Nothobranchius furzeri: one gene and its partners. The protein of the gene in region 2 interacts with the protein of the main gene of each other region in a pairwise test. Links are inferred from orthologs where the notes say so. Each region holds a gene or a part of one and is shown on either strand. Other genes may lie near its edges.

What was found. The genes of interacting proteins can lie anywhere in the genome.
Region 1: the proteins of trip10a (region 2) and sh3bp1 interact in binary tests that used the Homo sapiens proteins (3 or more experiments, as listed by UniProt). The two-hybrid records come from large-scale screens. The link is inferred for Nothobranchius furzeri from reciprocal best matches to the Homo sapiens genes TRIP10 and SH3BP1.
Region 3: the proteins of trip10a (region 2) and arhgap17b interact in binary tests that used the Homo sapiens proteins (3 or more experiments, as listed by UniProt). The link is inferred for Nothobranchius furzeri from reciprocal best matches to the Homo sapiens genes TRIP10 and ARHGAP17.

What each region holds. Positions count from the first base shown.
Region 1 is NC_091756.1:27,546,646-27,550,400, forward strand, and holds the start of sh3bp1 (SH3 domain-binding protein 1), read right to left. Parts: upstream 2,688-3,755; 5' UTR 2,549-2,687; coding exon 2,496-2,548; intron 1-2,495. UniProt on the Homo sapiens protein: GTPase activating protein (GAP) which specifically converts GTP-bound Rho-type GTPases including RAC1 and CDC42 in their inactive GDP-bound form.
Region 2 is NC_091745.1:3,269,121-3,272,875, forward strand, and holds the start of trip10a (cdc42-interacting protein 4 homolog), read right to left. Parts: upstream 2,428-3,755; 5' UTR 2,237-2,427; coding exon 2,213-2,236; intron 1-2,212. UniProt on the Homo sapiens protein: Required for translocation of GLUT4 to the plasma membrane in response to insulin signaling. Required to coordinate membrane tubulation with reorganization of the actin cytoskeleton during endocytosis.
Region 3 is NC_091752.1:55,847,622-55,851,376, forward strand, and holds the start of arhgap17b (rho GTPase-activating protein 17b), read right to left. Parts: upstream 2,693-3,755; 5' UTR 2,511-2,692; coding exon 2,286-2,510; intron 1-2,285. UniProt on the Homo sapiens protein: Rho GTPase-activating protein involved in the maintenance of tight junction by regulating the activity of CDC42, thereby playing a central role in apical polarity of epithelial cells.

The sequences.
Region 1 (3,755 bases), on a different chromosome or scaffold from region 2:
TTTTGTTGGGGCAAATCGTCATAAGGCTTTTGTATGCAGAGAAAAAAGATCTGTGTGTATCTAGATTTGTGTGTGTGTGTGTATCTTTTGTTCTCCCCATACTTTTGCCAGTGGGCTGCTCATCCATCTCTTGTATTGTGCCATTGTCTTTTCTTTTTAGTCAGTATGCACACAATTCAGAGATGTTAATGTAGGGTTCCAAGTGAAAATCACACAACTTTGCTGATAGTTTAGAGTCAGTTTCTTTATTTTTGTTTGTTGATTCGCTGAGTCTGTTGGTGAGTTGTCTAGAAAAGCCTCCGTAAATTGTATTCTCCATCTACTGAGCAAATGACACGATGGACAAGGCATATGGGTTTCCCTCAGCTTTTTGGACTTAACAGTCCAGATGTCACTTAATTTTTTTATTTTCACTGTCAACCATATGTCTCCTCTCTTTTGTGACTTGTTTTCCCAAGAAACTGCTGTTGTAAACTTTCCACTAGCAGCATAAATGGCAAATAAATACTTGCCTTAAAATATTGCAAAACGTTAACGATCACACTTACAATTAAGTTGCAGCAATTAAATAAAAAAATTACGAAGAGGTATCTGGGCAATGGGCCAGTGGGCCGCCTATTGAATGGAGCTAGTCCCTATATGTGCTCTTGTAGCAGCATCTTCAGCACAACTTCCTTAAATCCTTCACAATAAGAGTCTCAAACACAATATAAACTAGTGGAGTTTTATTATAAAACAATACTAATAAGCTTTTTGGAGGGTTCAGGAACACAATAAACATTGCTTCCTTCACAAATCTTCAAACAGCTTACTTTAGACATTTTTCTGGAAATAGGATTTCAGCTGTTGTAGTGACATTCTGACTAGTGGCCCTAATAGGCTTCTGTACATAATGAGAACTGGCTGTTTATGTAGACATGAGCTCATTTGTAAAACAAAATGCAATTCCATTTTTGGAAATTTTCAAAATAAAATTTGGTGATTTCGATCGAAAATGTTTTGTAAATGAACTAGATGTGTGTGTGCACGTGTGTGTGTGTGTGTACCTTTTTGTTCTTTGTATTTAATAGCCTTTTTTTTATGTAGACGTAAATTCTGAGAACTTTTTACCACAAACTTTCCTTATCTCTGTCTCTGTCAACAAACTGAAAGACAAACAGATCAAAGGGCATCTGTCCACCTCTGAATCTTCCTGTTTGTTCTCATAAAATATTAAAATCTAACTAACATGTGGTGTTTTTGCACTGATGCAACCCTTAGAGTGACAGGGTTGCACTAATCTACTGATCTCACAGCTGTTTCTGACATTGAAAACATCAGTCTCCCACTTTGCACCTCCTCTGCTCTGAAACTTCATCTGTCTGCTTTCAGAGGTGAGAAACAAAAGACATGTGAAGCATGGAGGGAGTGGGCTGATGAAGTTTTGAGAGTTTGGTATCAAGAGCAAAGGACACTAATAGGAAACCTATCTTAGTTATGGTCAGAAGAACATGATCTCATTTAGCACATCAGCTTGTTTAGGCTCTGCCTCTCTAAATAACTCTTCTCTGGTGAACATCGTCATGCTTGCTGTTCCACCTAAAGGAAGCCCAGTCCCATTCATGGAGGGACCACATGAGCGTCAGCACACATGAGGTGCAAACGATTTCCTCCTGAAAAGACATCTGAAGGTTTAAAGGATATATTCTGAGCTGGTCTGAAGCATAAACAACTTCCTCCTTCTTATTTTCACATGGGAAGAGGAAATGTAGTTTTTTTTTAAAATAAAAACAAGAAAAGGTGATGTTCTTGGTGTGTGTGTGTGCACGGCTGAAGCTCAGGGCATCATTGCAAATTGGCATGTGTGATATGTGGAGCCCACATGTCTCTGCTGCAGATGCACGTAGTTCAGTATTAAAGAAAAGTGCGTCACAGAGGAAGGCTGCACTGCCTGCAACCAAACCACTAAAGTCCTGCTGCACACACTCAACAGAGGAAGGTGTGAAGTTGGTGGCTCCCACATGTTTTCTAACCGGGGTAATTTAAGGAGTTCTTTTATGTTCAGGTTTCATCATCACAGAACAAAAAAAAGTACAAGCCGACCCAAACCATGACTTGAACCCCCTCCCCCCAATACTTAACCCAAACGTATCACTTTCAAGAGGAACAAGCAGCAGTGACTAACAGCAGCTTCACTCGCACTAAAAATGAAATCATGGACAGAGCGAGAATTTCCTCAAAGCAATAAATGAAACCTTCTTCTGCAGAGTCCATGATGGCTGCTGGATTATGATATCTGGACCAAGTCCAGTTCAAATGGAGTCATGCAGCTTAAACCTGATGTGACCTGCTGTTGCTTGAGTTGTTTGACTTATCAAACAGACAACAAGTCACATTCACTTCTACTACTCTTCCAGTGACACGCTGGGGTTCAAACAACTTAAAAATATACACAAACGTGGCACACAACAGCGTACATGATTCCATTTCTACTGTTATAGCTAGTACAGGCTTACTTTGTCACTGATCCGAGCTGCTTGAAGATGCTCAGAGACTGCCGGAGCATCATGCTTTTCTATTCTTCAGCCCCACTAGGAATCCTGCTCCAGCCCTGTCCACACAGCCTCATCAGGGTTTAGAAGGTCCAGGTAGGTGAGGTGCCTACAGCTCTCCTGGTGGAGGATTTTATGCGTGTGTGTGTGTGTGTGTGTGTGTGTGTGTGTGTGTGTGTGTGTGTGTGTGTGTGTGTGTGTGTGTGTGTGTTTTGCCTGTCAGGTTTTTGTTCTTGTTTCAGGAGTGTGCTTCTAGGTCACATGCAACAAAAATTTGCAAATGAGGAAGTTGCACCGATGAAACGTCAGCCCCTGAAGTTCTGTGGCACCATGATTTTGCGTTTAGAAAAGCCCTCCACTAATGCATGTCTGACTGTGAAGGATGAGTAAAGTCATATGTAGAACGTGTGGTTCTCTTCTCTCTGACTGTGCAGGCAAGGAGAACAGCCTTAAGGCTTGTAATCCCTTTCTCTGTTAGCACTTCTGTAAATACTGTCAGCATGCTAAAGAGTTAAACGGATGTGAAATGTCTAAAGCGGAAACTCCACACTTCTTGTAACATGATTCTTGCCTAACAATAAAAAAACGTAAGATTTTTAATCTTAAATTATCTAATTCTGATTCAGACTCAAGAGTAAGATTCAAACAAAAACAGTATCTATTACATTTTTTTAACCCAATTGAACACCAGTAGTGGAAAAGGCGCACTAGACCCCCGCGACCCTGCAAGAACAAGCGGGTAAAGAAAATGGATGGATAGTGGAAAAGACCAAATCACAGTTTTATGTTTTGTCATCTTTGCATGTTGGTTTCTGTGGAAGCCTAATCCCGCCACTCAGATAATAAAAAATATCTCACTAGCCCATGACTATGACTTAGTATCTAATTATTATTTGATAGTATCTCATAATTATGACTTAATATCTAATTGTTATGAGATAGTATATGTTAATCATGACATAGTATCTCATCCTTATGACTTAGAATCTTACCTTTATGAGATATCTCATAATCATGACTTAATATCTCATTATTATGAGATAGTATCTTGTTATTACGAGATAGTATCTCATAAATATGACTGAGTATCTCTTAATAATTACTTATCATCTCATTATTATGATATAGTATCTTATTATATAAAATACTATCTCATAATTATGACTTAGTATCTCATGATTATGGCTTAGTATCTCATTGTTATGAGATAGTATCTTGTTATTA
Region 2 (3,755 bases):
CTGTTAATCACACTGGCCCTGTCACCCAGATTAGATCAGCCCATAGATAAAAGTATTTATGTAGAAGTAATTATGTTGTTAAAATATGAGGAAGTTTTGTGACAGGTGCAATTTTTTTTTTTAAACAGCTTCCTCTCATCTACTGAATACTTCTGATTTCAGGAAAGTGTTCTGAGAACACAAACGGTGAAAGCAGCTTTCTGATGAGATTTGCAGAAAAAGACAGATCTGGAAACGACAAGACAACTAATATATCACAGGGAAGTTTTCAGAGTCTGGGAAAGCCATGTAGCATCTTAAAATAATTATTGAACTTTCTACAATGAACTGTTTATTAAAGAGACAATTTGGCATTATGGTAAAATTTCATAAATAAATAAATTGTACTACTTGAAAGACTTTCGGGAGATGTTTGCTGGATGGAAATGACAATAGAAAAATACGTATTTTTTGTTTGTGACATCAGGATGATTTCGAACTACAAGTGCATTCATACATCTGAAAAATTTGCTTTGTTAGTTTAACTGCATAAAGATGGTTTGCAGTAGTCAGCTGACTTTCACAGAAAACATTTGATTGTTTCAGCCAGCTCTTATGTGACATAAATGTTCTATTTTGCAGGGAAAGCACCACAGAAAATATGATTTCCTTTGCATTTGTAACGCATCATAAAATCGCCTAAAGCTTTTAAAGCTGGTGACACTCATTCAACTCCTTCATTTCACTTCTTATGCAGGGAGGATAACTCCCTGATAATTACAGAATCTACTCTTAAAAAAGCAGCCGCCCTTTATTTTTACTACACATATTATAATGAGGTGGGGGCAACAAAGATATGACTGTGGCAAATCAACTTCCTATCATTTCAATAACTACATCAAGGAAAAGTCATGAAACGTCACACGGCAACTCACCACCTTCAAACGTTTCTGTGAATGATTCAGCTCAGCGTCAAACGTTCTTGTCGATAATGAAAGGCATTAAAGGCATGGCCCTGCCAGACCCGCCACACGGGAGTTGCTGTTCTAGTCACAACTAAAAGCCCAGACACTCATCTTGGACTGAGCAAACCAGTGCCTTAAAATAGCCACCGGATTAAAAACAATCAGGGGAGCAGATGCCAAAGAGCTGACCAGGTCTACGAGTTTGACTCCAGCCAAACATTAACAAAACCAATTAGGCCTGCAGGCTCATCCAGGTGGGGTTAGACTCTAAAACAAACAACTAGAGGTTAATATATTTCTACATGTGCATGAGATTATTAATCGCTAACTAAAAACAGCAGACTTTTGTGTGCATTTGTGCTGCAGAGCCCTGCAGTAGAAATAGTTTCTGATTAACAGGAGCAGCAATGTTTCTGTGAATCAAAGTAGGGCAAAACTAATTAGGCTGTTGCACCACTGCATAGGGAGAAAAAGGGGGACGGGGGAAGGCCCGGGGGGGGGAGGATGGGAGGGGGACAGTAATGAGGTCACAACCTCCCTGTCCTCCTCTTTGCAGTTTGCAATGCTCCATTTTACAAAGCAGGTTCCCTGAGAACGTGTGTGATGGTTGTGTTCAGACTGAAGCTGCTCGCTTCTGCCTTCAGGAAGTAGCTCCATGTTTGCTGCAAAGCCGGACCACTCTTGATTGGGCCGGCCTCCTGAACAGTTAGGGTTAGGGACTTTTACAGCCTCCTGGTTGTTAACTGAAACATGTGCTGCCCAGCATTTACGTCAGAAAGCTGTTTTTGTGTACTTTCACTCAGAGAAACCACCTAATCAAGATGGAGCCTGTTGCCAGGTCACACCAGCAGCTGATTCCATCTCTATGGAAGCCAAGTGTGACAAAATATAAACAAAGAAGCATCCTGCACGTCCTTCACCAGAGTACTTAAACATCCTTAAAAAGTAAAAAAACGGAAATTTAACACGCGTTTCACCTTAAATCAGTTTACTTTATATGCAACGCTTTTGATAGCATGAAAATCACCTGAAATGTCATTTGATTTAAATTACTAGAGTCATATGATTTGAAGAGGCTTTTTAATGCATTTTTCCAGAATAAACCGCTTTTATGTGAAGCGAAGGAAAAAAAGTGTTCGTGAACGCATCGTTCTGCAAACGGAGTTCGGCGCGTCTTCTGCAGACAAACCCAACTTTGTCAGAGCAAACAGCAGCCATCGTTGCGTTTTACAGTGTTTCTACTCAACGGAGTCAGATGATGGACTCACCCAAAGTTCTGTGCCCCAGTCCATGTTCAGCCGGAATACGAAGAACTTCTCCAAAGTTATCCCGACAGCTCGGAGGGCGGCCCTGGCGGATCCAATCCCGACCCGTTAAAGTTCACGGTTAACCACGGAGCTCTCCGGTCACGGCTTCTTCAACAGCTCAAGCGAACCGGCTTCATAATTACCTCGTCTGCTGGAGCTGGCAGCCGCTGGCCGAGTTAACCTAAATAGTTTTCATAGCGAAGGAAACAGGGACGACTAGCTCTTTATCCGCGTCACTCCCAAATCCTAAGTCTTAAAGGGACCGCGCTCACCAAAGAACATTGGGTTCCGTCTGGGTTCTGCTGGTTCTGGTTGTGTCTGGGTTCTGTCTGAATTTGTTTTGGTTCTGTCTGGGTTCTGCTGGTCCTGTCTGGGTTGAGCTGGTTCTGTCTGAGTATTGTCTGGGTTCTGCTGGTCCTGTCTGGGTTCTGAGTTCTGTCTGGGTTCTACCTGAGTTCTGCTGGTTGTGTCTGGGTTCTACCTGAGTTCTGCTGGTTGTGTCTGAGTTCTATCTGGGTTCTACCTGAGTTCTGCTGGTTGTGTCTGAGTTCTATCTGGGTTCTACCTGAGTTCTGCTGGTTGTATCTGAGTTCTGTCTGGGTTCTGCTGGTCCTGTCTGGGTTCTGAGTTCTGTCTGGGTTCTACCTGAGTTCTGCTGGTTGTGTCTGGGTTCTACCTGAGTTCTGCTGGTTGTGTCTGAGTTCTTTCTGGGTTCTGCTGGTTGTGCCTGAGTTCTGTCTGGGTTCTACCTGAGTTCTGCTGGTTGTGTCTGGGTTCTACCTGAGTTCTGCTGGTTGTGTCTGAGTTCTATCTGGGTTCTACCTGAGTTCTGCTGGTTGTGTCTGAGTTCTATCTGAGTTCTACCTGAGTTCTGCTGGTTGTGTCTGAGTTCTATCTGGGTTCTACCTGAGTTCTGCTGGTTGTGTCTGGGTTCTACCTGAGTTCTGCTGGTTGTGTCAGAGTTCTATCTGGGTTCTACCTGAGTTCCGCTGGTTGTGTCTGGGTTCTACCTGAGTTCTGCTGGTTGTGTCTGAGTTCTACCTGAGTTCTGCTGGTTGTATCTGAGTTCTGTCTGGGTTTTGCTGGTCCTGTCTGGGTTCTGAGTTCTGTCTGGGTTCTACCTGAGTTCTTCTGGTTGTGTCTGGGTTCTACCTGAGTTCTGCTGGTTGTGTCTGAGTTCTATCTGGGTTCTACCTGAGTTCTGCTGGTTGTGTCTGAGTTCTTTCTGGGTTCTACCTAAGTTCTGCTGGTTGTGTCTGAGTTCTATCTGAGTTCTACCTGAGTTCTGCTGGTTGTGTCTGAGTTCTATCTGAGTTCTACCTGAGCTCTGCTGGTTGTGTCTGAGTTCTATCTGAGTTCTGCTGGTTGTGTCTGAGTTCTATCTGGGTTCTACCTGAGTTCTGCTGGTTGTGTCTGAGTTCTATCTGGGTTCTACCTGAGTTCTGCTGGTTGTGTCTGAGTTCTGTCTGGGTTCTACCTGAGTTCTGCTGGTTGTGTCTGAGTT
Region 3 (3,755 bases), on a different chromosome or scaffold from region 2:
AGTAGTGGAATTGCTCTGATTGACTACAACGGGACCGATTTTGCTCCGGCGTTCGTGTCGGAGCGGAGCGGAGGTAGTGGAATTTGGGGGTAAGGGACCTAAAATGTACCAAGAAAACTTCCCCCACACCATTACACCACCACCACCAGCCTGCACAGTGGTAACAAGGCATGATGGATCCATGTTCCCATTCTGTTTACGCCAAATTCTGACTCCAACATTTGAATGTCTCAACAGAAATCAAGACTCATCAGACCAGGCAACATTTCTCCATTCTTCAACTGTCCCATTTTGGTGAACTGGTGGTAATTGTAGCCTCTTTTTCCTATTTGTAGTGGAGGTGAGTGGTACCCCGTGGGGTCTTCTGCTGTTGTACCCCATTCACCTCAAGCGTGTGCGTGTTGTGGCTTCACAAAAGCTTTGCTGCATTCCTTTGTGGTAACGAGTGGTTATTTCAGTAAAGTTGCTCTTCTATCAGCTTGAATCAGTCGGCACATTCGCCTCTGACCTCTAGCATCAACAAGGCATTTTCGCCCACAGGACTCCTGCATACTGGGTGTTTTTCCCTTTTCACACCTTTCTTTATCAACCCTAGAAATGGTTGTGGGGGAAAATCCCAGTAACTGAGCAGATTATGAAATACTCAGACCAGCCCATCTGGCACCAACAACCATGCCACGCTCAAAATTGCTTAAAGCAGCTTTCTTTCCCATTATGACATTCAGTTTGGAGTTCAGGAGGTTGTCTTGACCAGGACAACACCCCTTAATGCACTGAAGAAACTGTCATGTGATTGGTTGATTAGATAATTGCATTAAGGAGAAGTTGAACAGGTGTTCCTAATAATCCTTTAGGTGAGTGTAGAACAGCCTCACTGAAAAAAAATTTATTTAATGATTATTTCTGATTCTAATGGGTCACTCCGAGTGTTTCATGCAGGCTGAACATGAAAATAGTCTCCTACAGCCATCTCCTGCATTAGCTTCTGATAGAAAATAGACGGTGAAACTCTAAGATATGAAAAGCCTGACAGATGTGACTCAGGGCGTAAGGCAAAGCCCAGAAAGACAAGAAAATAACTTTTATAGCCCAGTTCACTAACATTTTTTTTCTTCTTTTGATCGGGGACCCATGAGCCAACCAGAAGGGGAGGAGACTGGCTCCCCATTAGCCAGATCCAGTTTGATTACCTGTCAACGTGGATGTTTTATTAAAAAAAGCTGTTTTTGTGTCAGTATGGTTTTATTTTTATTTAATAATATGAATGTAGGATATGTGGGTAGAGATGTGTAAACAGATTTAATACAAGACTAAAGCTGTGAAAATTGAGTCTTAATTGATCTGACTCTCATCAGAATATTTTAAACAACATCAGCCAACAATGCTGACCAACAATCTGAAAAATCTGTTTGCTTCTGACAGAATGAAAAAAGAAATAACAATTCACTCACAACAACAGCTGTAACTACATTATTATTCAGATGGCCAAAAGAAAAAAACAGTGGCCAAAATTGCAGACTAAATGCACCAGAATGCAGGGTTTAACACTTGTTTTTTCAAATATTTCTAAGGAAGCGTGTACAGAATTTATTTTATTCTTAAGCCGTACTGCCCAGCCCTACTTGTTATGGGATTACATAAATGTAACTGTGTTCACTTATTATCACATTCAAATCTTCCTCTCATCAGCCACCTAAAACCATCCCACTCACTGTAGCACCTACCTGCACCTCAGCAGGTCTGGTTCTCCCTGTCTCACCTTCTTATCATTTTGCTGCTGAACTTCATCTGATCTCTTATATGAACAAAGTGACAAGAATAAGGTTTAAAAATAAAATTTGATGAGAATGTCACAAACAAGCAACAGTCACACTTACAAACGCCATTTTTAAGTGGAGATTCTACTTATTTCCTGTCAAACGGTTTTTGTCTGTTACTGTAAAATTCGCCATTTTTTATTGACTAGTTGTGTTGTTTAATCCTCCCACTGTGCTAATGGGTGACCCCATGAGGAAAGTTGACCATTGAGCAGAATTGATGGTTCATCCCTTGAGGTCCATGTGGCAGGGGTGAGGAGTGAGTACCACCTCACCCCTGCCACATGGACCTCAAGGGATAAACCATTGATCCTGCTCAATGGTCAACTTTGCTCACAGGGTCACCCATTAGGACAGTGGGAGGGTTAATGTTTAATGCTGCCTAGCAAGATGTTTACAGTAGTCAACCAGTCTAACGTTTGACCAAAAATACAATTATCCTCTTGGACAAAATTATTACCAACTCACATTTCCTTTCTTTCTTTTTTTGCGCATGAGAAAGAACTCGTTGAGCTGCTGTCGTCTCATCTCTGACACCTGTGTCCGTGCCCCGGCTCTGACTCCTGCTTCACTCAGCCAGCCTGTCTGACTCCCTGAGGGGAGGGGCTGTTTAGGTGAGAAATCTGCAGTGTCTTTCAAAATAAAAGCTTGCGAGTCAAATATTTCAAAATCTATTTTTTTTTTCATCTCCATGTTATTGGGGGGACAAATATGTGTTTGCCCAATATTGGAGAGGACTAGGGCTGGGGCAAACGATTATTTTTAAAATGATTATTCTGACGATTATTTTATCGAATAGTCGACTATTCTAATGACTATTTAGACAGTTAATCTAATGATTATTTTTCTATTGCACAGTTAATAAAAACCAAAAAATCTCTAATAAATTTCTCAAAAAATTTATAAATTGTTACTGTAAGAGAATAAACACTACAGGCCTTCCATTTTGTACAACTCTGCTTTTATTGTGTTGCGGTTGGTTATGTTCTGGTGACATGTAGAACTTGGGAGTGCAGGCTGCTGCCTGCGAGGTGGTTGGAGACAGAATGTCTCCATGCTGCTTTGTTTTGGTCACTTATGAGCGTGAGGCGAGTGGTGCTACAACCCTTCCTGGGGAGTTTGGCTCGTGTGTAAAAAGGAAGGGACAATAACACGGGATTTAAAAGTTAAAATGATGATCAGGTTTACTTACAACTACAACAAAAATCATAAATCTTTCCATCCACAGGTTGGGAATAATAAAACTAATCCTGCCTGTGGGGAATTAAAACAAAAGTACAAATAAGTAGGGATGTCCCACTGGGCAAAGATTACTGGGTTCTGGACCAAAAGAAGAATCTCCAAAGGTCCAAACTCTAAACTGGGCGGTTAAACCAAACTCGAGGTGATATTTTAAACTAAACCGAAAACCCACAACCCTCTAAATGTAATAAAAGGGAGATCTGCGCCACAAAAAAGATGAACTCTAAACCAAAATGTAACAGCAAGAAGCTGTTAGCGAAAATGCTAACAGTATCTTTACCAACATTAAGTTCAAGTTACCGAGTTTAAATAAACCAAAATACCCAGCAGCAAACAGACCAGCACAGAGAGACTGCTACCACCAAAACAGCTCTCCTAATGTCTGAAAGAATCTCCTTTATGAAGGGAGAAACACTCCCGGTGACGTTCTACATCTGCGATAGAGACGGAGCAGCGCATCTGACCCCGGAAGTTGTTGTCCGTTGCCGGGAGACGAAGGCGGGCAAAACAGGAAAGGAATCTAGTAGCGGACGGACATTGTTCTGGGTCTTCGGTATTTGGCGGAGATGTTAGTGAAGGCGGAGAAGAGGGCGAGCTAGAGAAAAAACAGGCAGATTCCACCACTGTTTACAATATTATCATATCATATTCTAATTCTTCGGGTTTGACTCGTGTCTAAAGAGATAATGTCTAGTT